4 linked regions of the Struthio camelus genome follow. The protein of the gene in region 4 interacts with the protein of the main gene of each other region in a pairwise test. Links are inferred from orthologs where the notes say so. Each region holds a gene or a part of one and is shown on either strand. Other genes may lie near its edges. The genes, in order: GLRX3, RGS3, CRY1 and phospholipid scramblase 1.

The links.
Region 1: the proteins of phospholipid scramblase 1 (region 4) and GLRX3 interact in binary tests that used the Homo sapiens proteins (3 or more experiments, as listed by UniProt). The two-hybrid records come from large-scale screens. The link is inferred for Struthio camelus from reciprocal best matches to the Homo sapiens genes PLSCR1 and GLRX3.
Region 2: the proteins of phospholipid scramblase 1 (region 4) and RGS3 interact in binary tests that used the Homo sapiens proteins (3 or more experiments, as listed by UniProt). The two-hybrid records come from large-scale screens. The link is inferred for Struthio camelus from reciprocal best matches to the Homo sapiens genes PLSCR1 and RGS3.
Region 3: the proteins of phospholipid scramblase 1 (region 4) and CRY1 interact in a two-hybrid assay, tested with the Homo sapiens proteins (2 studies listed by BioGRID and IntAct). The link is inferred for Struthio camelus from reciprocal best matches to the Homo sapiens genes PLSCR1 and CRY1.

The regions. Positions count from the first base shown.
Region 1 is NC_090948.1:1,878,490-1,886,257, forward strand, and holds the start of GLRX3 (glutaredoxin-3), read right to left. Parts: upstream 3,014-7,768; 5' UTR 2,985-3,013; coding exon of another isoform or gene 2,923-2,984; intron 2,815-2,922; exon of another isoform or gene 2,748-2,814; intron 2,343-2,747; 5' UTR 1,572-2,342; intron 1-1,571. UniProt on the Homo sapiens protein: Together with BOLA2, acts as a cytosolic iron-sulfur (Fe-S) cluster assembly factor that facilitates [2Fe-2S] cluster insertion into a subset of cytosolic proteins.
Region 2 is NC_090961.1:12,237,639-12,244,945, forward strand, and holds the start of RGS3 (regulator of G-protein signaling 3), read left to right. Parts: upstream 1-4,294; 5' UTR 4,295-4,576; coding exon of another isoform or gene 4,577-4,607; 5' UTR 4,608-5,221; coding exon 5,222-5,324; intron 5,325-7,307. Other genes in the region: C20H9orf43 (uncharacterized protein C9orf43 homolog), read left to right, coding at 456-715. UniProt on the Homo sapiens protein: Down-regulates signaling from heterotrimeric G-proteins by increasing the GTPase activity of the alpha subunits, thereby driving them into their inactive GDP-bound form.
Region 3 is NC_090942.1:61,486,239-61,494,201, forward strand, and holds the start of CRY1 (cryptochrome-1), read right to left. Parts: upstream 3,013-7,963; 5' UTR 2,825-3,012; intron 2,698-2,824; 5' UTR 2,644-2,697; coding exon 2,486-2,643; intron 1-2,485.
Region 4 is NC_090950.1:16,852,192-16,859,476, reverse strand, and holds the start of phospholipid scramblase 1, read left to right. Parts: upstream 1-4,270; 5' UTR 4,271-4,409; exon of another isoform or gene 4,410-4,778; intron 4,779-4,867; exon of another isoform or gene 4,868-6,755; intron 6,756-7,229; 5' UTR 7,230-7,278; intron 7,279-7,285. UniProt on the Homo sapiens protein: Catalyzes calcium-induced ATP-independent rapid bidirectional and non-specific movement of phospholipids (lipid scrambling or lipid flip-flop) between the inner and outer leaflet of the plasma membrane resulting in collapse of the phospholipid asymmetry which leads to phosphatidylserine externalization on the cell surface.

The sequences.
Region 1 (7,768 bases), on a different chromosome or scaffold from region 4:
GGCACTAAGGGTTGTTTTTGCCAAATTCATTCACAGAACAAGTCTAACTAGTTTTGCAATTACGCTGCTTCCTGAGTTTCTGACAATTATAAATTAAGCTTGAAACACGACAAGAGTAATTCAAAACAATAAGAAAGGAAAAAATTAAGAGTCAACAAAATAAAGTGCATAAGTGATTATTATAATAAAGTGATTCTAAACAAAGTTTTTCTTACATTCAACCAAGATATTTCTACAAACTCTACCACTAGATAATGGTCATGAGAAAGAGCACAGTAATGAAAATGTTATAATGAGTCCCAAATTTTCTCTTCCTATGTCATTTCACATTTCAAATTTTGGCGGAGGAGCTTTGGGCCCAAAAATAAGGGGCCCACGTCCTTCATCCCCAGTAACTTTTGTTAAACTTGACTGGAAGCAGAAGAATATATCATGCATTCTCTATGGATAGATGAAAAGCACAGTCTTTGTTATATTTAAAAATGTTTTTTTTTTTTTTAAAAGAGAAAGATTTGCTTGAGATGGAGTCACAAAACATCTTTAAAATGAAAAGCCTATTTACTGCAGAACCAATATAGCAAGACATTTTCTGAATGAGAAAATCCAGAAAATTTTTGTTCCATAAGTCAATCACCTTTTAAGCTGAGACGCAAGTATTTTGTAAATATTTATATGCTACCACTGACAGGTAATGCAAATAAAATAATTTTATACACTGATCTTTCTAAAACGTAGTCTAGGTAAAAGAACAGACTGCAGAGTGATAATAAAAGTGGTTCAGTAATTTTGAAGACATTGGCTCTGTTCATCTTATGAGCCTATGAAATCTAGGCATGTTTTGGAAAAATATAAACCTTAAAATTTATACTTACTCTGTAACACACAACTTACTAATAAAACAGATGTAAGACAGATTAGCTTTCTGAAACAAGAGATCTTAAGAAATTAGGTTGAAAGATAAAATGGTGGTAGTTGTATCGCAAAGGCAGCAATTCTATTAGTTTGGAAAAGCAGGAAGGTTATCCAAACAGCAAATTTACTCACGAAACAGAACTATGCCTGACCTTAAAAATTCAACGTATCTTCTACCTTAAGCTTTAACTTTCAAAAGAAAAATACTTCCTTCAATAAATTTTCTTCTGTCTCACTTCGTTATTTAAAGCAATGTTTAAAACCACTTTTTGACATCATTAATTTTCAAATTCACTGTGATTATCTAAATATGGAAGGTATCTTAAGGAAACCAGTATCTATTTTTTAAATTCTAATTTTAAAAATTCACCATCAAGAGATGATGAGACCATAAGAAAAACTTTAATTTGGGGGATTTGTGTGCTTTTAAGTGCAGGTTTGTTGGCTTTTTTAAGTGTCTTAGCAGTAACAAAAAAACAACGTCCAATATTTTTTGACTGAAGCAGAAAAGAATCATCAGTACTATCAATCCCCGCTAGGATCCAAGGTAGTGTAAAATAATCAAATCCCTTAAAGAGAAAACTGAACCATGTTTTAGAGGACAGAGGAAAAGAGAAATATGTTTTTTTGTGGTTGAAAATAACTTCAAAATACCATACTTGCTCCTGGAGCTGTTCTATGTATTTCCCCCTTGGATACTCCCACGCAATAATTCAGCTGAAGCACAATTCCGACAAGGAAAACTGGAAGTCATGAAGAAAGTCTCAGAAACTCTATATCCAAAAATATGAGTGCATTCTTCCCACAACCAAGATTTTTTCAATATTTTAATATTGTCTGTAGGAAAGCAACACTAGCAGTTTCACCAGTCTTTTAAATGAGTAATTTCATCAGTTTTCTCTCCTTCTCCATTTAGAGGCCACTTTCTGATTCAGCAGCCGAATCAGCTAGCACAGAATCACAGAACGGTTGAGGTTGGAAGGGACCTCTGGAGATCATCTAGTCCAACCCCCCTGCTCAAGCAGGGTCCTCTAGAGCACATTGCCCAGGATCGCGTCCAGGCAGGTTTTGAATATCTCCAGGGAAGGAGACTCCACCACCTCTCTGGGCAACCTGTGTCAGTGCTCTGTCACCCTCACAGGAAAGAAGTTGTTCCTCATGTTCAGATGGACCTTCCTGTGTTTCAGTTTGTGCCCGCTGCCTCTTGTCCTGTTGCTGGGCACCATGGAGAAGAGTCTGGCCCCATCCTCGCGACACCCCCGCTTCATATACTTGCAGACATTGATGAGATCCCCTCTCAGTCTTCTCTTCTGCAGGCTAAACAGGTCCAGCTCTCTCAGCCTTTCTTCCTAGGAGAGATGCTCCAGTCCCCTCACCATCTTCATAGCCCTCTGCTGGACTCTCTCCGGGAGTGCCATCCCTCTCTTGGACTGGGGAGCCCAGAATTGGACAAAGCACTCCAGATGAGGCTCGATGCTTGCTTTTTTTTTTTTTTTTTTTTTTTAAAGGCAGCATCAAGCTTTCACATGCCTTACAAGGCCTATTCACCTCTCTACTCAGCTCAGGGATTAAAAGACAAAACACCACAGCTGCCCCACCTTCCCTCCCACAGGACAAGCGGGGCACAGGCCCGGCCCCCGGCGTACCCCGGCTCCTCTTCTTCTCCTCTGCGGCCCACCGCAGCCGAGGACGCGGGGGTGGGATCCCCAGCCCCCCGCCAGGATCAACGCCCGAGACCGGCGGCACCGGGAGGAGAGCCGCCACCAGCACCCAGCGCTCCGCGCTGCAGGGGACACCGCTGCCCGCAGCGCCGCGTTACGCTCACCTCAGCTCACCTCAGGGAGCCGCGCCGCGCCGCGCCGCGCCTCGCCTCCCCTCACGGCGCCGCGGCCCGCCCGCCCCTCGCCTCCCCTCACGGCGCCGCGGCCCGCCTGCCGACCCCTCGCCTCCCCTCGGGGCGCCGAGGAGGAGGAGGAGGAGGAGGAGGAGGAGGAAGACCCCCCCTCCTACCTGTCCGGCTGCTGCAGCAGCTCTTGGAACTGCTGGGCCGAGCCCGCCACCACCACCGCCATGGCCGCACGCAAGCAGACGGGGCGGGGGGAAGGACGTCACGCGGCTCCGCGCAGGCGCCGTGCCGCTCCCGCGCAGGCGCCGCGGGGCGGGCTGATGGCGGCGACGCGGCGAGGAGCAGCTCCCCCCTCACCCCCCCCCGACCCGTGAGGGCGGCCTGCGCCGTTAGAAACGGTTACTCTGAGGTAACGCAAGTCGGGCGTTAAATCATAATTCCGCTGAGCCAGCGCGTTACACAGGTAACGCGGTGAATGAGGCCAACACAAGGCGGAGTCCGCGCCAGGGTTGTCCTCAGAGCACCCTGAAGCCAAGCGGAGCGGTGTTCCGCGGGGCGCGCTTCGCCTCTCCTTTCGGCTGGTCTTCCTATGACCAGCTGTTATTAATGCTATTTATTTCCTGCCGTCGTCTTAACAGCTATTGGTTTATCTTAACTGGCGTTGCAATGCAAGCAGCAATTCTTTTAAATTCTTTTTTTCTCAGGCACGATAAGAAGTAGGAGAAACTCAGTCCTGCTCGCTGATCGCTGCGTCTCTCGGATGGTTTCAGATGAGCGGAGGGAAGAAGGTCTGATTCTGCGTATTTCCTCATTTATCCCCTTTTTCTCATTTATTTCCTCATTTGTGGTCCGTAAAGCCCATATTTGTGAAAGTTACTTAAATAGACCAAAAGAACTGCCACTTTAACGTAACAGAAAATACATAATCAGAAATTTGTAAGAACAGAAAATCTTGAGGGAAAGCATCTTTGGGATTTCACATCATCTTTTGCTCAGTTTCAGAGCTTACAAAAAGGAGTGATCCCTTCAGTCACAAAAGAAGGAAAACCCACTAATTTTTGCCTGATTTTTATTTGGAGTAAACTAAGAATATAAATTTGTTTGAAATCGAAATTTGTTGTGTTAGATAAGTATGTCCTACAGATCACCCATATTTTATCTGATTTCGGATAATAAAAAATTTCATGTATTTAAGAACCTGTAACATAGAGCAAACAGCTTATAATCTCCACCCGCACCTGTTCCATGACTAATAAAAGGCATTTGATTGTGTAGAGTGGCATAGGATACAACGTTGTGACATAAGACCATACATATTATTCTAAAAGTAAGTCTAAGAAGACTGCAATATGTAATTCCACAAACAAATCTATCTACTCGGGGTATTTTTTTCTCCTTTTCAGTTACCTGGTACCACACAAAATGTTCACTCTGTTTTGTCTAATAATTATGGATATATTGTAGATAAACATATTACTGGAACAGAGTGATTTTTGCAGTAGTAAAACATGGTGTTATAGTCTAATTATCTGTTATAATTAAGTCACATATTCTCCATATTTTTGGTCCCATTGCTTAACTGATTTTTAACAAATGCAGCTACTTTTTGCTGCAAAGGAATTCAACGCATGATAGTAGCCTATATGCTGTTCAAATCACCCTAATATGCAATTGAGGGCTACTGTACTCTCTAGTCTGCAGGCCAAAGCCAAATGACACAATTGTGTTTTAAGAATGACTCACGCTACTTCACCTGTAGGATGTAACTTCTCAAAATAAATGTCTTCCTCTGTAGCCTATGTCAACTACATCATGTAATTTAAAACCTCCTTCTTTAGTAAGGTTCACAAGACCTTTTCAAGGTTCATTTGGAAGGTAAAAATAAGGATTGCTGTTAAAAATGTATAGGCCCACTGAGACATAGGAGAACTAAATCTCCCTAACATTAGGCTATATTTCTGGGCATCCCATATGGAGTATTTGGCAGCACAGTCCCAGGGAAACCCAAGGCTTCAACGACTCCAGATTGAACAACAGGCAGCAGGCCAAATTAATCTGGCAAACCTCCCATAGTGCCCAGTTGATCTACTGCTCACCTCAAGTTGCAAAGAATTTGATTACAGAGGCAATACCCAAGTCTGGATAAAACAAAAGCTGAAGATGTAGCTAAAGTGGCATAGATGCTCTGCAGTGCCGCTAATGTTTTCTTGCTCTGCTTGAATATGTCAGTCTACAAAAGAATTGTGTTTTGGCTTTACATTTGCTAATAACTATGTTATAGTGCTCTGTTGAAGTACTGAAATGGATATTCCTTACAGACAGAGGTTTGATTTTATTATATTCAAGCTGGGAATTCCCCATAAAATACTGATGTGTTTTAACATAATTCTAGTTCTATACGATCCCTGAACACACTACTTCATGTGTGGCAGAAAAGTTACTGGTGCTTTATACTGTTTTCCTGACCCATGCATAGACAAAGACGGAAGAGACAGTAGAGAGACTGCATAATTCCAGCTTAACGAAGTTAAAGTAGCTGAAAGTTGCTAAGTATTCAAGATATACACAAGCTATTGTTTTTATATAGAAATACTATTTGTCAGTACCTGTGTAGCAGCGTACGTAAAATAAAAATAAACAGCTTTAGAATGTACAGAAGCAACACCTTTTCTTGTTTTATCCGGTTACAGTCTTTCTCTATTTTGATATAGCACTAGCTATTCTTTGAGGAATCTGGTCTGCCCTTTGCTCCAAAAGACTTTTTATTATGCACAAATTTGGCATCTCACTTACTCAGAGTGATTGAGAATAGCATATTTTTGTTGATACTTGCAAAAAAATAGCTTCTTAAGTGTCTGAACTCATGAGATTGACTGGACTGTACAAATTAAGATTGATCCTAGGAAAAAAAAAAACACAGTTTGAGGGAAATGGTGGTTGCATTCAAAGACAAGTTAAAATCTATGCTAAAATAGATTACTTGTTTTGATAAAATTATTTTATTTTTGAGTATGAGTTTTTTGCTAGGGCCCCTGACTTTAAGCCTTATCTATTAGGTGACATGATTATCACATGGGAATCTTTCCCTCCTTAAAAAATCCTTATAAATCAAGGCAGAGTCGTTTATTTATGTAGTGGGAGATATTCAGGGACAACCCCCTGGCCTGCACTGAACCTAAGGTGAGATTCAGTACATAGTGTGCAACCACATGTTCCCACCATGCATGTTGGTTCATAGAAGGGGGTTTTATTCTTCCCTTTTATTCTAGGGAGTTGAGGGTGGCTTGAACATGTTCAGAAAAAAAAAATGCTTAGATATGGTAAGAATGTGTAATATGATATGGTAAGAGGAGCCAGGCAGAGGGCACCGACAATGGTAAGAATGGATACCATAACAGGGGTCTGAAAAAACTTAATGATAGGCAAAAATACCGAGAAAGATATTATACTTGGACTTCTGGATGCATGACACAAGATCAAATGAAAAATACATATCTAGACAATGTAAAGGTTTGGATGATGAAGATGTATTGTATGAACACTGGGGGGGAAAAAAAGCAAATATTCTGAAAAAAGACAGGAATTCACTCTAAGACATGTCAGGTCACAGTATAACAGGAGTGGAAAAAAGCTATGAGAGATCACTCGTTTTCTCAACGAAAACAGAATGAAACAAAAAGAGGGAACATTTAACAAGAAATGAAATATAGCAAATGTAGAGATACTGATATTTTCATCTAGGAAAACAGCAAACTTAGGGTCCCAGTCTAAGGCCTAAGGATACAGACCTAATGTCTGTAATTGCAGAAGTTCCCACAGTCATAAGGGTTTCTCCAGCAGCATTCAGCAAGATATAAGAGGAAACAAGCTGGAAGGTGTGACAGGTCTGTGATCACTAAATCTATTTACTAATGGTAAATTCTTTCTCCTAAGTTACCTGGTACGATGCAAAATGAGGGAAGGAGTTAAGAACAGTAGAGAAAGCACAGAGAAGCATTTAGCAACTGAGCATGATGGAGAAATGGAAAAAAAAATTTGAGTAAATGGAGAGAAGAATGAAAATAAAGTTATAGCTATTAGTAGATTGGAGGTCTTTGAAGACCGTGGTATAGAGCCAATAGTCAGAAAATGCCTGTGCAATGACAGAGAAAAGGAAGTTATTCTTAGAAAGAAAGAACAAGGTGAGTGAAAGATGAAAGAAGGAATAGTCCTTGCCAAAAAACAGTCTGCTCAGTTTTTGGGTTATGCATTAAAGAAATCTCATGGGACTAGTTCATAAGGGTACTTCTTTAAAACATAGACTTGTGAGTCTTCAGTTTCTCAAAAGAATGTGAGAAAACCGAATCTGAGAATGTGATGTTGGGGGTGATACAGAGTAATTTCTCTATATATGCAAAAAAGAGCAAACTACTCCAAATAAAAGTCAAAGTCTCCAGAGGCAAAGGTCTGACTATGAGCTTAGCAACTGCGAAGATAGTTGACAGTCTGTAGATGGCAACAAGCTACCTCTAACAACCAAACTAAATCTCTGTTCCTCTGCTGGAGCTTTTCTTCATCAGGTCACCTGCAGAACACAGGGTTGAGAATTAGTGCCTGAGACTCTGACCAGGATATCTGCCCTATTCTCTTATCTAGCAGCATATATTAACACCTGCACTAAAACAGAAGAGAAATGGATAGCACAATACATCACCCACCCACACCACTGAGTACAACAAAATAAGTAAAGGGCTTGATTTTTTTAACAACAGAGTATCATGACTTTCACCTGCTCCTGCCCTGGTACTACATGGGCAGATAACAAGCTACTCCTTAGCACGCAGTTGTCTCATACTGCCTTACACAGCATGAGCTTTACTAATACCAGATAGGCTCTAGTTGAAAGCATAAGACATTGTATCTGGAGATGTATTCACATGAGGAATTAACACCTGTCACCTCTAGCCCAGGATGTTTTGAAAAGGTTTGTAAATTGTATCTCTTCCACCTTTGTTACTAAACTGCTTAAAT
Region 2 (7,307 bases), on a different chromosome or scaffold from region 4:
GGAGCAAGTGTGATACTACTGCAAGTTTCAGACTAAATATTTCTAAAGACTTGATATCACCCTGGACATTACTGTGGACAGCCTGAGGACAGGTCAGAGACACTGGGCCAAGTCCAGCAGGCTCACTCCAAACTCCTCCTGAACTTAAGGTTTGTAAATTTTGTCTTGAGGAATAGGGCTTACGTCATGAAATATCAATGACCTAAAGCTGGAGCATCCAGGATAATCATCCAGGCTCCTTGGTAGTTCGTGGAAGGAGCTAGTGTACCCGCTAACTCAGACCTGCCTTTGAGAGCCCAGGGTAGGTGAGAGGAAGCCCATCCATCATGGTTTCAGTCTCACGTTCTGTGCTCTGGGTACATTATCTTGTTCTGTTTGACTGAACACAGTGGCCTGAGGCACTTGAGGGCAATGCCTGTCCCCTGTCACGTCCTCTTCTTTTATCCTCTGGCCAGGTGTTGAAGAGCACAGGCAACCTTTGACAAGAAAAGGGAGCCAAGACTATGTATATTCCAGCGGCGCTGTGAGCCGGGAGGACGGTACATGGGCACTGTGCCACATCCAGGGAGTCCAGTACCCAGGCAGAGCGGTTCCGCTATCCGAAGAGGAATTTGAAGATGACCCTTCCTACAAACTGCCGCCGCCTCCGCCTCCTTCTCCGTGCCTACAGGAGGACTATAATGAGATTTCTTCAGGGGGAAACCCCTGCCTTTGAAGGACACAGCAATCAAGACAGTCTTCTCCATTAACCCTTCATCAAACAATGGCTGAGGGAACCTGTCCTGACACTGGCCTGCTCCTGTCTCAGCTCCTGTCTCGCCTTGTGTTTAGGCCCCTTCCACTGTGTTTCCCTTGCCACAGGGCAGGTGACGGAAGTGGCCCGGCAGTTTCTGCAGTCTGTAAACATTTGGGACAGGTACAAATCTCTGAGTTCTGAAAATTAAAGAAGAGCTTCTCACCCCCTCTCCTGTTTCTGTGCTGCGCGTTGGCTTCCAAAGAGGAGCTAGTCTGTTGAGCAGCTCGAATACGCGCCATGGCCTGGCTGTAGCTGCCTTAATATCCTGTGTCAAGAAAATCGCATTTACCCACCCACTCCATAGGGCAGACCGGCGCAGTAGGCCAGGGCTCAAGCACTGTGCTAGCTCAGGGAATGAGTGGGGCTGAGCAATGACCACTCCAAACAGGAACCTGTGGGAGCAAGCCTTGGCCACTGGTAGTGCTGCGAGAGGTACCGGGCTGCCTCCTGGGCACATGGGAGGTCCCACTGGCAGCACTCCCTGGCCTACAGCACAGAGGTTTGGCAGGCAGGATGCGGGCATGGGGCTCCTGCCCTCCTCCCGGTAGCTGAAGGCAGCAGAGCGAAAGGGGTTTGTCATGGCACTTCCTGGAGTTTTCCAAAGGACAGGGGTGAAATGCATTATTTTGAGCACTCAAGGCATCCTGGCATCCAGGGAGAGAAAGTGGGTCTGTCATCCCCTGTCCCTGCTTGGCTCTCCAGCGTGCAGGTGAACCCAAGAGCCGTGCTCTTGGCAGATCTCTTGGGGGCACGTTCGTTCCTCCGCTCTGCTGCCCGACTGGTCGCAGACCTGCAGCTGCACCCAGAGCCCTGCCTTAGGGATCCTGCTTTGCGCCTGGATCTCCGCTTTCCTGGGGAGAAGTCTGATCTAAACTTAAAGGCTGGTGTAGCTTCACTATGGAAGTTCTCACCGCTTTTTTAGCAGGGAGGATAGATAGATTTCCAGCTTGAATTTTGTAGAAGCCGTGTCTATCCTCAAGTTTGTCCCCTTGTCTATCTGCTTTCCCTTTTGCTGTTTATAGTTTATGCTCTATCTCTTGGCCTGAAGCGTCCAAACATTTGTTTCTAAAGCATGTTTCTCCCCGGATCATGCCTTCTGTTTTTTCCACCTGCCTTCTGAACTGCTGTGGTGTTTTCCTGGCACCCCAGTTATTAGTGCTCTCAGTCCCTTTATTATCGCTTCCTATTTTATACGATATTCCTTGGCTTTTGCCTGCCAGAATGCTCTCAGCTCTCTCCGCTGCAGAGCAGCATGCCTTCTGATTTCCAGACACCTGTATGTGACCACTCTCCTGGATATAAAATTACCCAGAAGATGTGTCTTAGAATTATTTAATTTATAGCGAATGATTTCGGCAGAGGAGAACAGGCAAACCCCCGACGGGGACCTGGGCTGCCGGCAGCGCTGTCCTGCAGTGGGACCCAGCTCCAGCGGGGGAGGCAGAGGAACGGGCGAAGGCTGCGCTTAGTGCACGGGCCGGGAGCCTCTTTCTCTTGCGACTCTTTTGGCATGTGAGTCCTGAGGCTTTTCCTGGAGATATTGTCAGCGGGGGCCTCCCTCCCATGCGCTGAGAAAGGGGGAAGCACACCTACTTTTGGCATCCCTCGCCTTGTCTGGGGAATCAGCATCCTCAAGCCCCGGGTGCTGCCTGCGTGTGATGCAGCCAGGCTGCCCTGCACCCTGCGGGTGGGTCCGCTGGCGCCGGAGCCTCCTGCGCAGCCTCGTGTTTAGGCAGAACTTGAACTTTTCCTCTTCAAGCCTTCTCTCCTCTCTCCCCTTTCCAGACATTCGCAATATCCCATTAATCTGTATGCTGCTCTGAACAGGGCCTCCCTCCTGGGGTTTGGGGTCTATCGCCCCAGAGCCTGTGTTTGCAGGGTTATGTCGTAGGAAAGTTGCCTGGCTGGACCTCCTCGCTGGGGCAGCCTGGGCGCCCTGACAACGCCATGCCTGATGGCGAAGGCGAGTGTCCGAGGGCTGCAGAGCACAACGGTCCTGGCAGGGAGATTTTACTCTCTGGCAATCCCCCAAAACAACTGCAGTAAAGAGAGCATCTACCCCTGACTTGGGAGCGGGGCCCTCGCGGTCTCCTCCTTCGCCCCTTCAGAGGCTCTGGGCACCTACCCAACGCAGTTTGAAGCAGGAGAGGATGTTTGTCTGTCTGTGAGAAGAAGTGCCCTGTGGCTTTAGCTGGCAGGAGCCCCTTGGAAAGAGCAGTTCCCAAGGCTCGGAGTTGCCTGGACTTGGCCGTTTGCAGGGGAGCATCAAGTGTTGCTGCTGAACGGTACTCGCAGAGACTGGCTGTGAGGGAGGTGGGTGTTACCCGTCTTATTTGGAGCTTTGCATGCTGGTTTTTAAAAGATTATAGAGCTATAAACTTGTGTTGGAGGAGGACGGTGGAGGATGCAGAGGCGCAGCAGCTCGGAGCTGACTGTCGCTGCTGGGGGGCTCCAGGCTCGATGCCCTGAGCCGGCTGTAATTTGATTTGGGGGATGAATGGTGGGTGGGAGATGCTGCAGAGGGAAAGGGCAACTTTGTGTGTCTTGGCAGCGGGCAAGAGCAGCTCAGGAGGAATTTGCTAACGTTGGATCAGTGTCGGTTTAAACTCTCTAACAGGGTTTGAATCCTGCTGCGAGGGCAGTTTTGCGGGTGCTTGGAGCGCGGGGTGCATCTGCCGTGCAAACCTGCCCGCAGGATGAGCAGACGGGGCTGCGATTTGGTAAAGCAGCGGCGAGGATCGCACCGGGGTGCAGTGGGGATGCTGCTGCAGGCGCTGCGCCTGGCACTGGGACTTGGGCTTCAGCGGGACGTGCAGACTCTGGCGTCTGAACAGAGCGGTCACGAGGTTTCTGAAGAGACCCTTGCAGCAGGGGAAACCTTTCCAGGGTCCCAAGTGGGAAAGAGATGTAGTTGTCGGCCAGCCTGTGGCTCTGTTGGATTCCTCCTTGGCATTTTTCAGGGAACAATTCAGCTGTGCTTGCTGCAGAGGTGGTGCTGGAGGACAGGAGCACCCCACCTCTGCCCGGCACCAGTGATGCTTGCTGTAGACCCCAGGGGAAAGACTGCAGCAATCCAGCTGCTGGCAAAGCGCTGAGTTTTTCTGTGTCTGCCCTGTGTGGCAGACTTTGCTAAGAATAAATCTGCCTGCAGGATTGCCACAAAATAGCCCAAACCTACTCTGTTCCTAAAAATCCACTTTTCATTTGAGAAGTGAAGTAGTTTTTCCCGGTCAGTACAATCTGCTTTAGTTTCTAGTCAAAGCAAGCTTCAGCCTTGTGAGCTTTTTGTGTGCATGTGGTATCCTTTAGCCTGGACTAACTGTCTAAGCATGTGTGTTTGGATTTGAATACCCAGTCAAAGGCAGATCCTAATGCTGGCAAACCGAAATCTGTAACGGAGAACCGTGTTAAATTTTAAAAGAAAGTCATTAACTCCCAAGCCAACCAGCTGAGTGTGCAGTCTGCTGGAGACTCTAGCAGAAACTGCAGGTTAAGGTCAGTCCCCAGGAGATTAAATGTTAAGAGGGAAGTTAGGAAGAGTCCCAGCCTTGCTGTTGGGAGCCTGTAGAGAGAGGGGCTGCTGCGCATGCAACTCCACCGACTCCTCCCTGCACACAGTTTAATGTGTAACTTTCCAGTTCTGGAGCTCTGCTCTTTTGGGACATTTATGTACCAAGTTTTCTGCTTCTTCTTCTTCTTTGGTGTCAAAGTCAAACGCCTGAGCGCAGGACGCCGGTGCTTGGACTTTGCTGGAGCAAGAGAGCATCCTGCCTGGGAATCATGGAGCAGCTGGGAAAGCCGGGGCTGACGCGTGAGTGCTCGGATGTTTTCTCTTAGTTTGCGGTACTGCTCTGTCTCCTGGGTGAAGGAAGAATTACGATTATGCAGGTGCCTACTTCTCACCACTGAAGCAGATCCTGGTGCTTGGAGGTGGTGAAGGACCATGTTCCCCGCACGCCCTTCACAGGGTGTCGGAGATGCCCAGCTCCCTGCAGGGTCGCATTTGCTGGTGGCAGGCCTCGAGGCTCTCCACTAGCACCTTGTGCTGCGGGACACAGAGGGCTGGAGCCTGCTGCATTTGAGAGCTAGGGCTGATTTTCACGGCTGGTGAGCTCTGAGCTCTCTGGGAGGAGGGTGCATGGGACTCCCATGGCCTTGCATTCCCAGAATCCCAGAGACTCTTCTTTACCTTTTCTATTTTTTTTTTAATGGGGTAAAAGCCCTACCTGATGGGATTCTCTCACCTAAACCTGTGGGACTGGCTGATTAAAGGGACAGTGCTCTCTTGTAACTGTGTCATTCATCCCTCCTTTCTCCTCTTAAAACCGTCTGCAATAAAGAAACGGAGAGGGGAGGCTTTGTGCAAGCCTGAGGAGTTCCCAGGAGACAGGGGTGGCACGTGAGACACATCTCGCCACTTGCTGGATGTGCAGTGGTGTGCCAGGGAGAGCGGCAGGCTCGGCAGCACCAGAGAGGAGCAATCCAAGCTGCGGTCTTGATGCCGCCATGGGGACACGCTGTGAAGGAGGTGAGGATGGGGCCTTTCATCCATATTGAAAGACATTCAGGATATGTGGGACCTCAAAGTGGCTCCCTTGCTCGCTCCCCCAGTAGGACTGCTTGGTGTTGGATATCCTGTGGGTCGAGATGTATTGTGCTGGTCATCGATAACTGGGGATGCTGTGTACTGAAACATATGCTGCCAGGCTGGATTTTTTTTCCCAGGTGCTAGTAAATTTGCTGGGACAAACCTTTGGTTTTGATGGGTGGGAGATGGAGGTCACTAGGAACGTCAGCAAGTGGATTCAGCTGAACAAAATGAGGGGAAGAGTTTTTGAAAAGCCTGAAGGGAGGGTTTGAAGTGCTAATTTCCCTTAGAACTTGCTCCATGTCCCCAAGTAGAGCCTGTCCCACGTATGCGCTGGCTCCTGATTGCCCAGGATGGGGCTTTGATGCCATTTGCCTGTGGTCTGGTGCATGTGATGCTCCAATGGCTTCTGGGGGATGTGGCGATGCAGGGATGGCAACAGGACCTTTCCTCAACCCTTCTGCACGGGGTGGCGGTAGCACTGACTCTAACCCAAGGCAGTCAGGGGTACCTCCGTCTGCAATCTTGCTGTTAGACACAGCTGTAAGAAAGGTGTTTGGAGCCTCTGTGATATTGTTCTGCAGAGCCCAGGGCTGGGATGGTGGGGAGTCCTGAGAGGGTGGGAGAGCTCCTCTACCATTTTGTAACATAAAACACACGTGATTCAGATCCTCTCCCAAGTCTTTTGGCAGTGCTGCTTGTGAAGCATGAAGGGGTTCATCCCTTCCCTGGCTCCAGGAGCAGGACCCGGCTGTGTCCAGGGCTCCTCTGCCCATGAGCGGATGTGTTAGAGGATGTGACGTCCCCAGTTTTAGCTTGTTACAACTCAGATAAACTCTTTGGGGCTGAAAGCTTCACTGCTGGGGAAAACTGGACCTGCTGCAGCACTGGGAGCTATGGGACCATGTAACTGCCAGGTAGCCACAAAGAGCATTTAGTTGCTGGCTGCGTCCATAGTTCGGACCGCTGTCACCAGGCTGCATCTCCTGCTCCCCTCTTGGGCCTCTGACAGTGTCAGCCTTGCTGGGAAAAGGGGATTCATCTTTCCCCTGTACCCAAATCCAGCAGCATCACGGGGAAGCACAGATGTGCTGGAGCTGCTGAGAAACCACAGCGGACGCGGGAGCTCCTGGCTCTGCCCATCCTGCAGGTGCTTCTGCTTGTCGAAATGGCCCACACTGCTTGGGCGTCCTCAGCATTTTAAGTAGGACTGCAAAGGTCACGCCGTTGCTAACGAACAAGCAGCAATTAACGAATGAATCCTGGCTTTGGTAGGGGCTCCCTCTGCAGCCCACCCTGAGCTCTAGGTCCCTGCAGCTGGAGGTGATGGGGGCAGAGCTGGAGCCTCTGGGCTCCCAGCCGTGTCTGCTGAAAGGCCAAGTGGCCAGAAGGCTGCCCAGGCCCCAAGCCCTACTGGAAGCCTCTTCTCTCGACAGCTCTCACCCATGGTTGGTGCCTGGCGCCCCTTCCCCTGGGCTGTGCCGTTCTCCGGGTGCAGGAGGCTCCAGCAATGCCGCATCGATGGGGATGGACCTGGTTCCCAGAGCAGGAAGGTGATTCTCATGCAGCTTGCGTAGACTCAGCTCTGGCCCCTCCTCACCATGGGGCAGGAGCTTTGCGTTGGATGTGTCTGCAGAAAATCCTTCTGGGCCCTCAAGGGCTATAAACATCTTGGGAGGCAAGAAAAGCAACCGGTGGCGTTAGCTGGCTGCTTGGCCAGGCATCTCCTCGGGGCTCCTGCTGGTTGCCAAGGGAAAGGCTGAGTGCCGGGGAGGCGGGCAGCCCGAACGGAGCCAAGCGCTTTGTCTGGAGGCCTTCGGAGAAGAACGTGTCGTTATGTGTCTCTCCTCCCGGCGCCCAAAGGGGCTGTGATTTATGGCAGCAGTACAATAGGTGTCTCTTGGCCACGATGAATTGGGCTGG
Region 3 (7,963 bases), on a different chromosome or scaffold from region 4:
ACAGAAAAGCTTTGCAAGAGGAGAGAGAGCACCCGAGGTGTTAGGTTCCTAAACTCATCAGAACATAAACTCTCTTAAGGTAAATCAACCCATACATATGGGAGGATCACTGTAAACCCACAGCAGAAGACTAAATTTAGATTCAAGTTCCAGATGCTGAGGGGCTTCTGCTCCTAATCTCAAATAAAATGTTTTTTGACCAATTCAACACTCTATTCCACATGCATATAAGCAAGGAAGTCATCCAGTGACCAAGGAGCTAAAATGCTTGATTATCAATACCAAGCACTGAATGAGACTGGCAAATCAAATAAAAAAGTATCACTTCACAGGTCTTCAGTATGCATACTACAAATGAGCTATTCTTAGCCAGCTGTAAAACACTCACATTGTAACTACTGGCACCTAAACTGGTTTAATTCCAAACTATGAACTGTTCATTGAAATAAGAATTTACTGAGATCACTCTAGTAAGTATGAAGTTCCAGCAGCTAGTTATTTTATAAAACTCACTTTTTTTTTTAAAAAAAAACTTGAGAAAACTGGAAATCTCACAAAACCGGACTATGGAAGGAGTGAGATCTATTCAAATCCATGCACAGCATGTGCCTTGGGGTATTCAAAATCCAGGATATTGTTTGAAGTGCTTTGAGGGTAGGGGTGTTACAACTGACCCTCCTTCTATGATTTCTTCATTTTTGTAGGGAGAAGAATCCCCTCCTCAAAAATGGACTGAAAGATAAGTAAATACCTCTCCTTGAAAAGAAACCCACCCTCTCTGACCAACAACTAAGAGATGTTTTACTTCAAATGTAAAATTCAGTGCAAGGATCGACTGTCTTTTGTACCACTGAGAACCGTTAAAGTAAATGCATTTGTTGAGCATCTGCTGATTTATTATGCATAAATGTATTCTAGGACTGTATTAAGTGAAGATCATACTAAACAGCCATTGGAAAACTAAGGCAGTAGCATTAGAGAGATGGATTCCCTTTTGCTAGGATCATAAAGTTCACATTTGTCTATCACTCACTAGCTCACAAAATATGACCAAGAATGGTTCAGCTCTCTCTGTTTTTTCAGTTATGAAATACATTAGAAACCTGTGAAGTATTCTGGACACGCAATTTGGCTGCATTCTTTTAAAACTTAAGTAGCTTTTCACACTTTATCTGTAAAGACTACATACAACCTCTGAACTTTGTTTATAACGTTCAGATTTGTTACACAAGAAAAATTATCTCCTTCAAAACAAGCAAGAATCTTTAAAAGTCTCTGTAAAAGAAGTATACATTATGATCCTCAGATAAGGGAATTACCTTACAATTATTAAGTGGTATGCACCTCGTTCTTGTCAATGAAAATGGAATAACCATCAAGTTAAAGATCACAGAAAGCCTATTCTTAATATTTGTATCTTCCTTAAACCAGAGATATGGCCATAATGAAAACTTCAAGATGTCGAGAGAGAGAGAGAGAGAGAAACCAACTTCCTGGTAAAGTATTTAATGATCTGGGAGAGAAGGTATTACAGCTGAAAGAAATAATCCTTAAGAAAACTGAACTAAAAAAACAAGTAGCTCTACTTTGACAGCCATCCCATCATGACATTGGGTGCAGTCCAGTTATACTGTGCTCATTCCATAATTAGTCAACTCCTCTCAGCATTGTGGTCTGTGCAGACTAAGTTCACGAGTATCTGAAATTCCTGCCATTCTTAGATGGATGACAGAAGAACTCTACCACATTATCAGTTATTTTTTAAAAAGAAAATAAAGTTATTACTGCTGTTTAATGCAATCTCACAAGATATGCATGCACAGAAGTCCCATTAACTTCTGTCTTAAGATGGCATACGTTTCCATACTGGATGCCAGCCACCGCTCCACAGCAAAAAGTTCAGCTTTATATTTAAAGGAGGAGCACACCTGGCCCAAAGGTGCAAGAACTGCATGCTCCCGAAAGGAGCACCGAACACCCTATCCCTACGGGGAAGATAACCTGAGAGTTTACTTCTGAACTCATCCAAAAGCTTCCCCTCTCTCTCTCCCACAGGGGTACGTGCAGGAGCGCAGCACTGCAAGTGGGGGCTCTGGCTGCCAGCCCGGGCTGCTCGGGAGGCGGCTGCCGGGCCGGCTGGAGGCCGCCGCGCGGCTGCGGCGGGAAGCGCGGAGTCGCCGCCGCCGCCGCCGCCCCCTCCCTTCCCCCTTCCCCCCCCCCCGCCGCCCGCCCGCGCGGGGCTGACGCGCTGGTGGCGAGTCCCCCCCCTCCCCTCCCCCCGCGGCAGCCGCCGGCCGGGCTGGCACGCGGGCTGGATATGTAACGGCCGCCGCCCGCGGGGACGCGCGCGGAGCCGCGGCGGGGCAGCGGCCCAATTGGGAGGCAGCCGGGCGGCGCGGGAGGGCGGGGATGGCAGCGGGCAGCGTGACCGCATACATAACCGGGGGCCTGGGCCCGCCGCCCCCCCCCCGTCCCCCGCACTCACCGCCACCTGTTGATGCCCACGTTGGAGGAGCCGGCGAACCAGGGGTCGAGGATGTAGACGCAGCGGACCGTGTCGGCGCCCTGGATGCACTCGCGCAGCGCCGGGTTGTCGTGGAGCCGCAGCCCCTTGCGGAACCAGTGCACGGCGTTCACCCCCATGCCGCCGCCGCGGGCCCGGCGGGCGCTCAGCGGGAGCCGTCGCCCGCGGGGCCGCTCATGGCTCAGCGCCGGGGCGAGCAGCGGCCGCCGCCCCGCCGGGAGAGGAGCGGGAGCGGCGCGGGGTCCCCGGGGCCGCCGCCGCGGGGAGCGGAGCGCTGGCGGAGCCGGGACGCGGCCTCACCTCAGGCGGCTCTAGGACCCGGCGGAGACGGCGCCGACCGCCCGGCGGAGACGCATCTCCCCGCGCCGCGGGGAGGGGAAGAGAAGCAGCGGGGCGGAGAGGTCCGGCAGTGGCTCCGCTCCCGGGAAGCAGCGGCCGTTGGCGCTGCTGCTGCCTCGCCGCTCGCCCTGTGACTCTGCGCGGGGCTCCACCAGCCGCCGCGCCCCGCCCCCCGCCCCTGATTGGCCTGCCCCGCCCCCACGTGACCGCCAGCCCTCACGTTTCTGAAGTGTGTTTACTAGCCGCGGAGGGAAGAGGCGGCGGGCAGAGGCTCCGCCGCGGCGCGCTCGGCCCCGCTCCCGCCAGCGGCGGCGGCGGGCAACCGGGGGAGCCAGCGGCCCCGGCGGGAATCCCACCCGCCTGGGGCGGTGCGAGGGACCGGGCCGCGGCGGGGAGGGGCGCCGCGGGTAGAGGCCGCGCCCCCTCCCCCCACCCCGCGCGGGGCGCCGGGCCCCGGATGAGCACGGGGCTCGGAGGAGGCCCTTGGAGGCGCCGCTATCCTGGCGGCGCCAGGGGTTGGGGGGGACATGTGTGCGCACGCGCGGAGGGGGGGCGGTGCCCGTGACCAGTTATGTATAACGCTCGGCGCGCAGAGCGCATGCGCGGTCCCGCCCCAAACTCGTAACGGCCGCGGCGGGGGTGACCGGGGGGAGGCGGAGTTGCTGCTGCCGTCTCCTGTGTGCCGGGACGGGCCGGGACGGTTATGTAAGTATCCACGTAGGGAGCCCAGCGCCGCCGAGGAGCTCCGGGGCCGCACCTCGGCCCGGCCCGGCCGCCCTCGCACGTCGCCCTTCCCCCCTCCCCCCCCCCGGTGCTTCGGCCAGGCGTCCCTGCCTGAGGAGGAGGAGGAGGAGGGGGGAGGCGGAGGAGGGAGTTCCCCCTCATTTTAAGATACGTTTCGTCGCTTACGAAGCGGACGAAGTAATTTTACCCCTTGGCCGCAGCGGTACGGAGGTGGTGTGCAAAAACGGGGGGCGGGGGAGGGGGGGGACACGGAACAAAGGCAGAGCAAACGCGGCTGTGCAGCTCGCCTGTGCCAGAGCTGTGGAAAGGAAATACGTCTTCAGGAGAGTAGTGAGAAGTAAAAGGAGTTAAAATGGTCTCTAGCACTGTCAGCAGCGTCATTATTAGCAAATGGTGTATATCTAACATGTCGTTCCCTTTTAAGTACAGAGCTAAAAGATGCCTGCGTGGTGCAGCTTTTCTTACTTTTACTCAGGTCTCAGCCGCCTGGCATGAGGTGTCCTACTGATGGGACTCAGTATAGCAATTTCAAGGCCCTACAGAGCAGCTCTGTATGCACGTCCGAAAGCAAACCTTCGTGTATGAATTATAACTTAGCCTACGGCTTCTAGTGCTTTCCATAAACAGCAACAGCAAGACAGATCTCACTACAAATAATGACTCTACAGTAAAATGGACATGCACTTGCAGTACTTACCTCCCTTGACTTCCGGAATTCCAGAGTAGGAAAGTATTTTAAATCTCAGAATTGGAGTTTCTACTGAAATATTTTTTCTGCTTAGGTATGAAAAAGTCAAACCCACAGTCAATAAAAAGTAACACATAACGCATCGTGCTTCCCTTGATGCTCTTCTTTCCTCACCTTGAATGACTTCATAAAATGTCCATACTGTTAGCAAAGCTGCTAACAGAAAAGGCCCTAACCATGATAAGAGCCCTTTGCTATTTGATATTGTAGAAACCTTCTCTCTAAAAAGTATGGTGGACCACCTTTCCTTAAGCATTTAACAGTAACTTAACAGTAGTATAAATTATTATGAGGTTTTCCACTATTATTTTGTCATATATGTAACATTAGATTGCACGGCTCATCATTCTGGTCCAAGAGGAACCTATGGGTTCCTTGCTTGTTCAGTTGTTAAGAAATGTCAAATCTTTGGTGACTGATTTTCAAATAAATAAAGTAGAAAAGAATGAAAAAAACATCTCAGTAGTTAATACCCACTTCCCATTAAATTCCTTTTAATTGTATAATATTTGAGCACACTGAAGAAGAAAGCTTATTTTCAAGGAAAGTCACCTTACGATATAGTTTTTATTTAAAACTTCTAAGCTGCTTTTTCAAGCCTCTCTAAGATCATCAGTCAGAAGCCTTGTATCTTATGTTCCCTGCTAGCTCCTTACAAGGCTGTGACACTGAGCAACAAACCATGGCCCTAAAGAAAGTTCAGTGTCAACTGATCTGCCTTCTTCAAAATGTTAACGTGTAAAACTATTAAACTGAGGTGGAAGCAACCCTCCCTTGCAGGAATTTATGGTTTCATAACCAAATTACAACCATGAAAACCATCACTCTGTAAGCTGTTTATCACTACAGATTAAATAACAACTGTAATTAGCATAGCAGCATGTCAAAACACCGTTCAGCTCTATCCATACCTTCCATTCTCGACTGATTGTTTTTGATTTAAAAAGTGGAAGGAAGATGAAGAATATATTAATTAAAATGTCAGATCTCAAGGGAAGAGGCACTCTCTTCAAGTTGGTGAAGAAAGAAAATAGAATGATAGTTAATCAAGGAACTTGTACAAGTTAAGCCCACTACTGTGTTCTCTTGTGGATAACTTTTGAAAGAACAGTATTGCTAATTCAGCTAACTTGGCTCACGCTGTGATAACAGAAATCCAGAGAGTGGAGAGGAGAAGGAATCAGAAGGGGAAAAAAAAGACAACATGAAGGCATGAAAGGACAAAATAAAACATCAAGGAGTAAACAGAATATATTGTGTATTAAAAAATCAGATGAGTTTTTTATATCCATGTGTCTTAACTCCATTGCATGCAGTTATGTCACTCATACTCACAATTAAGTGTTATTGAAACAGCAGTCATGTAGGAAACCAAGCGTGAGCAAGGTCCGTAGAGCATACTATAGCAATTCTTTCACACTTTGCTCTAATACAGACTATTGAAAATGTAGCTGACAAAAGAAGCGTTTTCAAAGCGAACAGTCCTAATTTTCACTCTTTGAAGTACAGCATTATGCAGACCTGAGTTAGATGGTTTTAAAAATGCTAACTGCCTAGAAAAATTGTCTAGTCTAGAAATTATTTGCATCTTTGCCTATTTTTTACTCTAAGTTTAGAAGTGAACTAAAGAAGTGACCAGCTGAACAGAGTAAGATACGGGAAGCAGATTCTCACCGTCACAGCTCATTTAGCTTCTGCAACAACATTGGCAAAACTGTTAATCCATTGACTATATACATGACTTTTATTTTTTTATTAGGGATAAGTACAGTGATCATATGGAAGAAAATATACTGATATAAGAGAAGCTTCCTATGATTACATCGTTGTTGCCTCTCAGCAAAATTTGATCCTGAAAAGATTTTTTCAGTGTGCTGCTTTCCAAAACAGTAGAATAGTCTTTGCAGAGAACATATTTGGTATCAGGAGCACTACTGCTTTTGATCTCCTGAATAGTGTTATTTGGTAGCTATTGCACTGTACAGGGTGTAAGTCTCACTAGCACTGTTCCACTTGGATAAACGCGAGAAACAGGCCATCTCCTTTACAGAATCAACAGGATCATCTGCTTCCCATCGGAACACAGGCACTCAAGTAACTTAATTTTCAAATGTTTGTTTCTTTGATACCATACTACTACTTAAAAATGAGGGATTTTGCTTTATTTAGTACACTAAATAGTACTCGCTTGAGAGCTGTTTAAATCGAAATACCTCTTAGTAGGTCACTTTCAAACATTTCTAATCATAACAAAGTCAATATTTTACCAGGTGGAAGAAACTCAGGTGTTTTTCCATGATAAAAAGACTGCAATCCAATTTACCTCACTCCGATTAAAAACACCGTGAATCAGTGCATGAACTACAGCATACTGAAGTCGCATCTGGAGGATGGCAAAGTCCTTGTTTACTGCAAACTCAGAATTAAAAGTACAGCCACTTAATAACCGTACTTCAGTCCTGTGAGATCTGTTGAGTCAAGCATTTTTTTCCCCTTTCTCCTTGCACCAGTAAATGAAAACATGACGAAGCAGAACTGACGGGAGCCAGGCACCCTGAGAACCGCGTGGCACCAACCCAACTTCCCCAGCCTGTTTCCATCCTGATTACAGCTCCTGCCACACCAGGGAGGGACTGACGGTGACTGTTGGCCTTTTAGAAACCCCAGCACATTTATGCTCCGGGTGCCAGGTGTGAAAGGGAGCCCTGCAGCCCACGCCGACACATGGACTTGCTCCTGTGTGCTCACAAGCGCTCCCGTGCTGCTGCCTCATGGACCTCATGGGCCACGCGCAGCTTCCCGGGCACGAGAGCACCTCCATTTGCTCAGCCTACGGTGCTGGCGAGGCCGTTACTTTGACGTTTCACTGGAAAGCAGACAAGGCTGAAACGACATACGCCAGATTCAGACAGGACGTAGGGCTTTAGAGATGCTCTCTTGAGTTTGGCCTTCACCCACCGGGCGCTCCCGCGGCAGCTCTCATGGCTCCCGCCGCCCGTCTCGTGAGGAGGGGGAACGAGTGCCGCCATCGCGCCGTCCCTTGGGGCTCTACTCCTTCACCCAGCAGCTTTTCAACACGCAGGCTGACTTCAGCCGAACTCCCCAGCCGTCTCGGGGGCAAAACCTGTTTCCGCCAGGGCTGTGAAACCTGGCGGCCGGGCAGGCGACAGGGCCCTCGGGCCGGCACCAGGCGCGGCGGCACCCCAGCCCTCACCGTGGCCAACGGCCGCCCCTCACGGTCTCATCCTGGCGGGGAAGGAGGGGGGGAGGGGAAGGCGAGGGGGCACTGCAGGGCTAAGGAGGCACCGCGGCTACCGGACGGGACGGCGGCACTTGGTCCTCGCGGGGCGCACAGCCCCAAACCCGTCCCTCGAGCAGCGCCCGCCGCCGCCTGCCCCGCTCCGTCCCCCCCGGCACCGCCCCGCCATGGCGGCCGCGCCGCGCCGCACGCCCCGCCTTCCCCCCTCTCCCCCCCGGGCGGCACCGGCCGTTGGGCCCGGCCGCGCAGCGCACGGCGGCGGCGAGCCAGGTCAGGGCGGCGGCGGCGGCGGGGGGTGGGGAGGACCCACGCGGGACCGGGGTGGGAGGGGGAGAGCGGGGCGCCCGGC
Region 4 (7,285 bases):
GTTGCAAAGTGGAGAGCAATGACACGTCAGGTTTATCTACGTTTCAGTAGGGCATTTTCATAAGAGCTACTGTTTAATACTTGATAATGTGGTTTCACAAAATGATGGTTTCAACAGCAGATTGGCTTGTGGGGGGGCAGTTCCTGACCATATAGTCTCTTCTCACCATCCCATAAAGTGCCTCCTTTTAAAGTTTCTTTTTCTTTCCTTCATACTACTGATAACTCAGATATGACCTACTTATTTACCTTTATTTCTTAATTTCTTTGCTCCCAGTTGCCCCTTTTGCTCTGACTGTGATTTTATATTGCTAGTTTCTAGAGATAGTATTTCTATACCTCTTTTCACTTTTTTTTTTCTTTTTTGCTGGAACCATCTCTCTCAGCTATCTGCAAGGCCTCCTCAGAAGAGTTAGCCAAATTCTTGGTATCAAATGGTTCAATTTTTTGAAGGACAGATAAAATACTCAGTAGTCTACTTTAAATTTAAAGAATTGCAAACAGTTACAAGGTTATGTTTAGAGAATAGAAGTGTTATAGAAGAAGTGTTCCTTCTAGCTGATTATAAATTTTTCAAGAAAACATATCTGTATTTGTAAATTTGGGACTTTGTTGATCTCTCTCTACTGTTTCTGTTTTCATTTCTGGGACACAATGAGCAATTGAGTAGTGTCTCGTTTTTCAGATATTACTGGCTTTGAAACAGTTATGAAATCAAAATACACAAATGTATAGCAAAGAATGTATTTTGCAGCAGGCAAACAATTTTTTTCCCCTAAGTTCTTATACGTATTCTTATTACTCCTCTTCATGAAAGTTTAGAGGAGAAAAGATACCAGTGCAAAGACCTTTCGCACAGCTTTGCTGCTGCTGTTCTTGCAACAGTTACTTTTCTCGCTGTCCACTATCTTTAAAGATTCCGCAAATTAGGTTTTCATTTTGACTTATCACAAGACACAGAGACTGTAGCCATAATTTTAGGGTATTGATTTTTTTTTCCCCTCTGAATTACTTTAGGTGACCTTCATCCACTTTGACGGAACATTTTGACCTGCCTTGTGTACCCAAGGTACCCAAGGCCTTAATGATTTGAACACTTAGACAGAGAAGACACCTAAGATCATGTTCCCCTCAATGTCCTCCACATACACTGTCTACACAACATTTGTAAAGACTGGACGCCGGTAGGCACAAATCTAATGTCAAATCTGGGATAGCTATGAATCAATTTAGAATTTTGAATATATTTGAGTAATAATGCCTAAAGAAAAGCCTAGACTGATTGACGCTGGATCTTCAAGAATTTTCATGCTGAGAGCTGTGCAGTTGGACACACTAATTGATGTCTTCCATCTGAAAATCTCAACAGAAAACTTGAAATGGTGCACAGTTAAATGCCAAATGAGTCTACCTCATCGTTAAGGCAAAAACAGGGGTTTAAAGATGTTCAACTGGATAAATTATTAGTCTAAAAGAATGTTTTATAGCTTTCATTTTCCTTAGTTAATTGGAATTGTTAATATTCAAATTGTTAAAGCTACTGAAAAATACCCAGCGTTTTTAATTATGTCTGTATTTTATTAGAGTCAAATCCTGACAGCTACTGTGCCCCCATCTTTCTTGGAGAAGCTGTCTTGATTGGTGCTTGCTTTCTTACTGTAAGTGTCTAATTCATGCTCTAGAACCTTTAAGCCCTGAATTCTCTTCATCTGTAACTTCAAGGTATATAGATACAATGTGATCCAAGGTGAATGGCAGTACCTTTGCTGCAGAGATATTCAAAGGTGTGGGATCTGGTGAAGATAATTTCATTTTTTGCACTACCTAGGTGATGGGCTTATATTTAATGTGGTATGAAATACTTCATGTTTCAGAGTCATGCTACACTCTATGAAGTCCTTGACATTTTGATCAATGTATTTTAAGAATTAGCTAGCTAGTCCTTAATACAGAAGGAGCAGGCTTTTTATTTCTTGTGAAAACATCACGCTTTTTTGTTTCTACTAATCCATCAGACAGGATGATCTTCATAGATAATAGAGCTTGTCTGAAAGCAGTCCTAAGCCTTGTGTAGTGGGAATGGATAATGAAAGAAAGGGATAGCAACAGCCCGCAGATGGAAACATCAGAAGTGTGTTTTGCTACTGTAGATGCCATATTTAGACCCTTATTGACAGAACAGAACTATTCTTTGCTCTATTTTATAATTCTGCTGTCCTGAAAATAAGGTTTGCATAATGTATCTCCTTAGTTTTTTACCTGCACCTGATACAGGTAAATGAATGCATGTAACAATATCCAAGAGTTCTGAAGAATAAAAGGCATGACTTTTAAGCGTTTGAACAGCAATTCAGAAGTGCCTAATAGCTTTTTTTGATCAAAATCATTGAAGAAACTAGCAGAAGAATTCACTATTAAATTTAAAATTTAAGAAAATATCTTGTTAGTCTCTGAAATGAGGATTCTCATTTCAGAGAATCCTGCTTTTATACAAGATAAATTCTAAAAAGTGACATTTAAAGAAATCTCTCTGCAAGGCAATCCTCTTGAGTGTTATATTACTTTCTCTGTAACCCAGGAACATTTTGTGATTATCAGGAATAAGCATTGCATGAGTCTACGATGACCCTTATAAAATCAGGCATTTCCGTTTTAGATTCATCACTAATCTATGTAATGTTGATGTTGATTGCATCTCTGATAATCTTTAACCTGAAAATATTTTGAATGCAAAACATATTTTATTAGTAAAGTAACTCTCTTCATAAAAAACTGAGCTGTAAGGGAAGGGTTTAGCATTTCCCATGATCCAACAACAAATCTACCAACAAATGAGGTACTTCTGTGAAATGTAACTTTATGCCTGTCGTCTTGAAAAGTATGGTAAATTTTACTTAACAGAAACCTTGATGAGCCTTTGCTTTTAGGTGGTAGAGTGCAAAACATAGCAGTGTGTGACGGTTGCAGAGCAATCCTCTCCTGGGACAAAAACCCTAGTTGCACAGGTGAGAGGCCTACTGAGAGTCTTTGCTGACTTTCTTCTCAGGGCTCCCTGTTCCCTTCATCACTATATCGGTCCACTCTATTATAGATTAAGGATGGTGAGTAGCTCTGTAGAGCCTATGTGGAAGCAGGAAAGTGCAGTAAATTTGGGACCACCTGCAGACTGTATTTGTACACAGTTTGGAAGGCAGACATGTTGTGGGTCCTTCTTGGATTTGAGGTTGTAAGGTTAAATTTATTATCAAAAAAGTGAAGAAATGAATAGGTGTCTCCAGTCCTAATTCCAGTTCTCACATCACGTATGTCTGCATAGCAACATGAAATTGTCCCTTTTTGTAAGACTCACTCCCAAGGTAGCCTTTTAGAGGCAGATGTTTTCAAAATAAAGCAGCTTTAGAAGTTATAGAAACTTTTAGAAAGTTTGGACCTTTTCAGACTTAAAGACAGTGTTTCTTTAAGAATATGAATCCGTTGTACTGCATCTTTATTTCTCCAGTTAATACCCTTATATTAAAAAGAAATATTATGTAGTATCAGACATCAAAATAAAAAATAAGGCAATCATTTCCTCAGCTGACCTGTTTTCAGAAAATCTTTCAGAAACAGGGCATCAGCGGAAGTACCAATCAAAGGTTTTTTCTTCTATTGTCACGTGTTTTCAAGAAACCAGGTGTTGTTAGCGAATGTTTAGATTGTACGGGAAGCTGCTTTTCACACAGGAGAAGGTGATAGTGTAAAGATTATAGGAAGGCTGAGATATTTGCTTAGGATTATCCTTTATGGTGAATAATCATTTGATAGTACATATAAAAGTTAATATTTACATGGGCAAGTTTGACTCCCCATACCTCCTCCACGAAATACCGTAGTGATCTGAATTTTAGAAGTTATACGGAGTTAGCAGTGACGTTACCACCTTAAACCGCAAGAAAACCTTGCAAGAAACACTGCTCATCACTTAAATGCTTGACCCTATGTCCCGCTGCCATGAGACAGTCGAAGACGGCAGCTGAATGAGGCGACGGCGTCTCTTCGTGGGGCTCCCAGTGCCGCCAGGGATGTCGGAGCTGTTTGCAGCGGGGGGAGATGACGGAGGAGGACTAGGCGGAAATCTGCGGGCAGTGCTCGGTCGAAAGTCGCTCGTAAATATGATTTCATACTGGCAGGGGGAGAACGGGCCGCTCCCCGCCCGCTGCCGCGGCTCGGCGGGGCGGCCCCCTCGGGGCGGCTCGGGGCGGCCCGGCACCGCCCGGCCCCCCCGCCCGCCGCGGCTGCCTCTTAGGGCCGGACCGGGCCGCGGCGCTGGGCGGCTCGAGCCGGGGTTGGTGCGGCGTGGCGGCTCGCTCGGGGTGAGGGCGGCGGGAGAGCGGCTCCTCTTCCTCGGGGACGGGTATTTTGGCTGAGAACGTAAGGATCTGTGTACCGTGTGTGTCGCCTTCTAGGCGGTCCTCTGAGTTGTCTCTCCTCGTTTCCTCCCAGCACTGCTTAATGGTTAGGTAGGCTGCAAAAGGGGTTTGATGTTTGCTAGTCGGTGACTGAGAGTGAAGCTAAAAACGCGTCTCCTTAGCAACGGTTACTTGCCAGAGCTGTCAAAATAACACTGTGGTTCGCAAAGAGGAGCTTATGCGGAGGCTTGCCTAGCGAGCGCCGTGCCAGGCTGCGCTGCGAGTCGGACTGCGGTACGGCTGTTGCGCCGGGCGCCTGCCAGCCCCCTCCGAGATCGGCCCTCGCCGCTGGCAGCCTGCGTGCCCCGGCCTCTGCGTGATCTGCTGCCGGGTGGGTTTTTTCCCTGCTCTCGGGTGTTGTGACCCCCAGGTTTTGGGGGAGATGTCTTTGTGAGGGGAGGGGGTACCTCGCTGCACCAGAACAAAATAACTTTATATCAACTTATAGTTCGTTTTGTTCCTTCTTGGAAACTGTTTGTTAAATTTAACAAACAAATATCTGTTTTGTTAGATTAACTTGATTTCTAAGATGTTGTTTCACAAGCAGTCAAGGTTAAATAAAATCCAATGGCTAATGTGATGGGTGTGACGAAAAGAAGTGCCTTACAGCTATTTGGCTCTGTAAGTGTGTTCTCCCAGTCGTGAACCTTCTCGGGAATGGCCCTGTGTTGGTATTTAAATGACTGAGCGTGACGTTTGTACTTGTGCAGCTTACGTTCATATGCTCGTGGTACTGTTTTAGTGACTTGAATGAGAACGGTAACTGTTCGTCATAAATGAAACCAATGTGCTTTTTTTGATAACGGAGTGGAAGCTCTGTAGTTAACTTCATGAAGACATACCTAATTTCTCTGCTAATTACCACATATCTACTGACATGCAACAGGATAAGAGAGATCTAGAAACTGAAGCAGTGTCATGCAGCTCTGAAAATGAGAAAACAACTGAGAAAGAGTCTGCCATTCCTTAAAAAGAAAGGAAAAAAAAAACAGGGGGAAGGGGGGACAGTCTAGGAACGTTATTTCCTTACTATTCTGTAAACTGGAACTGTTCTGTTATGATTTCCTTTAGAGATGGTATTTCCTCCGCTTCCTTTCCAAAAGTTTTTGGCTGTTTTTAGGTGCCTAGGCTCAACCCCCACTGGATGGGGAAGAGCACCGTGCTCTGGGCATCTGCATCCATCTAATGGTTACTTCTGTGTTGCCCCTTTGAATAACAATTCTGCCAGGCCAGGAAGATAAGGAACTGGCCAGCTATGCTAGTGTTAAGTGAAAGGTTTTAGGCTGTCTATGGAAATGAGTGCAGATTCTGAGAGCAAAGAGAAGAGTTTAGGAACTCTTATGGATGAGGAGGAAGAAATGGCAATACTAGCCCTGGATACCTAACGCGTAGAGGGATATGAGGAAATGAGACTTCTTGATTTTAGTTTCTTTCTCCTGTAAGTAGCACAGCATATGAAGCATGTGGGTCTTGGATTGACGACAGCTTGCTGACCTGCAGCTGAACCGCTGTCCTTGACAGTTGGAGGGCTGCGTATGTGTGGTTTCTTTAGTTTCCTTTCTGCACTGCAGTAATTGAAGTCGGAAGTCACACTGCAGGGTTAAATTGGTGTTTTTCATGACAGTTAGCTTTGCAGCTTACGCTGGAAGTTGCTGCCCTTCTCAATCTCATTTTGTAGGCGTAGCGGAGGAAGCAGGGAGGCCTCACAAGATTCAGAGGCCATATTTCATAATTGTAGTTAACAGACAGCTGCTTTGCATCAATTGTCCCCAGAGCCCTCAATGCTTCCTTCTTGCTAGCAAAATCACTTCTGCTTTTGCCTGCTATGTCCCCTCCTCCAGGGAAAAGAGGATATATTTCTCTTGCCTATGTTCTCTTCAAGATAGTGGACTCAGAGCTATGAATTATTGTGTGAATTTCGGTCAGAAAAGGGCAAAACTGAACAGAGCATTTAGGATTTTCCTGGTATCTGCTCTCATGCGTAGCCCTGCAGTGAAGCACCTGCAGCAGCTCTTTAAGCAGCCCGTTAGTGGGTCAGCGTCAGCGAGGCTCTGCTCTCTCCACCCTCCTTGCCTGCCCACGCGCACTTCAGCTGGGGGCAGGTGTTCCCCATGTTTATTGAAAAATTGCTGCTAGAACTAGGAAGACCGACCTGTTTGTAAAGTCTCTTTTCACTAAACTGTCTGCTAGATGAAACTGTAGACTTCAAATTATTGGTCTTGCATGGCTTTGTGTCGCTGAGGCAGCTGAAACCAGCACATTTCTAAAGCAACCAGTCTGCCTGTTGTCTGCCTATGTTTTCTTGACCGTAAGTTTCAGCAGATGGGAATTTCCCCTCCTGTAATAGCCTGCCCGAGGAAGATATTGCATAATACAAGGACTGGAAAAAAATGAGCTTTCATTCCTCCTCCTTTTGGTTCTTCAGAATATTTTATTGTTTCACAAGCTTTATTGATTATCTGCGAGAAGAGCAGAGTGTTGCTGGTATTGTTTGTTACTCTTGGCAACTGAATTGGAGGCAGCAAAAGGAGTCAAGGTGAAAGCAGCAAGCAGAAGCAGCAAATATTTTTATTAAAAGTAATCTTAACTCTTCAGCGACTTTTCTGATAACATGGGAGCCGAACTTTGTAAAAGCTTTGTTCCTCTTCTGGGCTGTGTATCACAATAGTTTCTAAACCAGATTCCACAGAGAAGTCTGTGTGTCTTTGTGGGAGAAAGATGATGATTCTGGGCCTTTCTCTTAAATAAATCATATGATTTATTTCTGTCTCTACTTTCCCAGGTTTATCGAAGGGTGCAGCTGTAATTCTTCATATTTCACTGGCGTTCTGGTAAGCG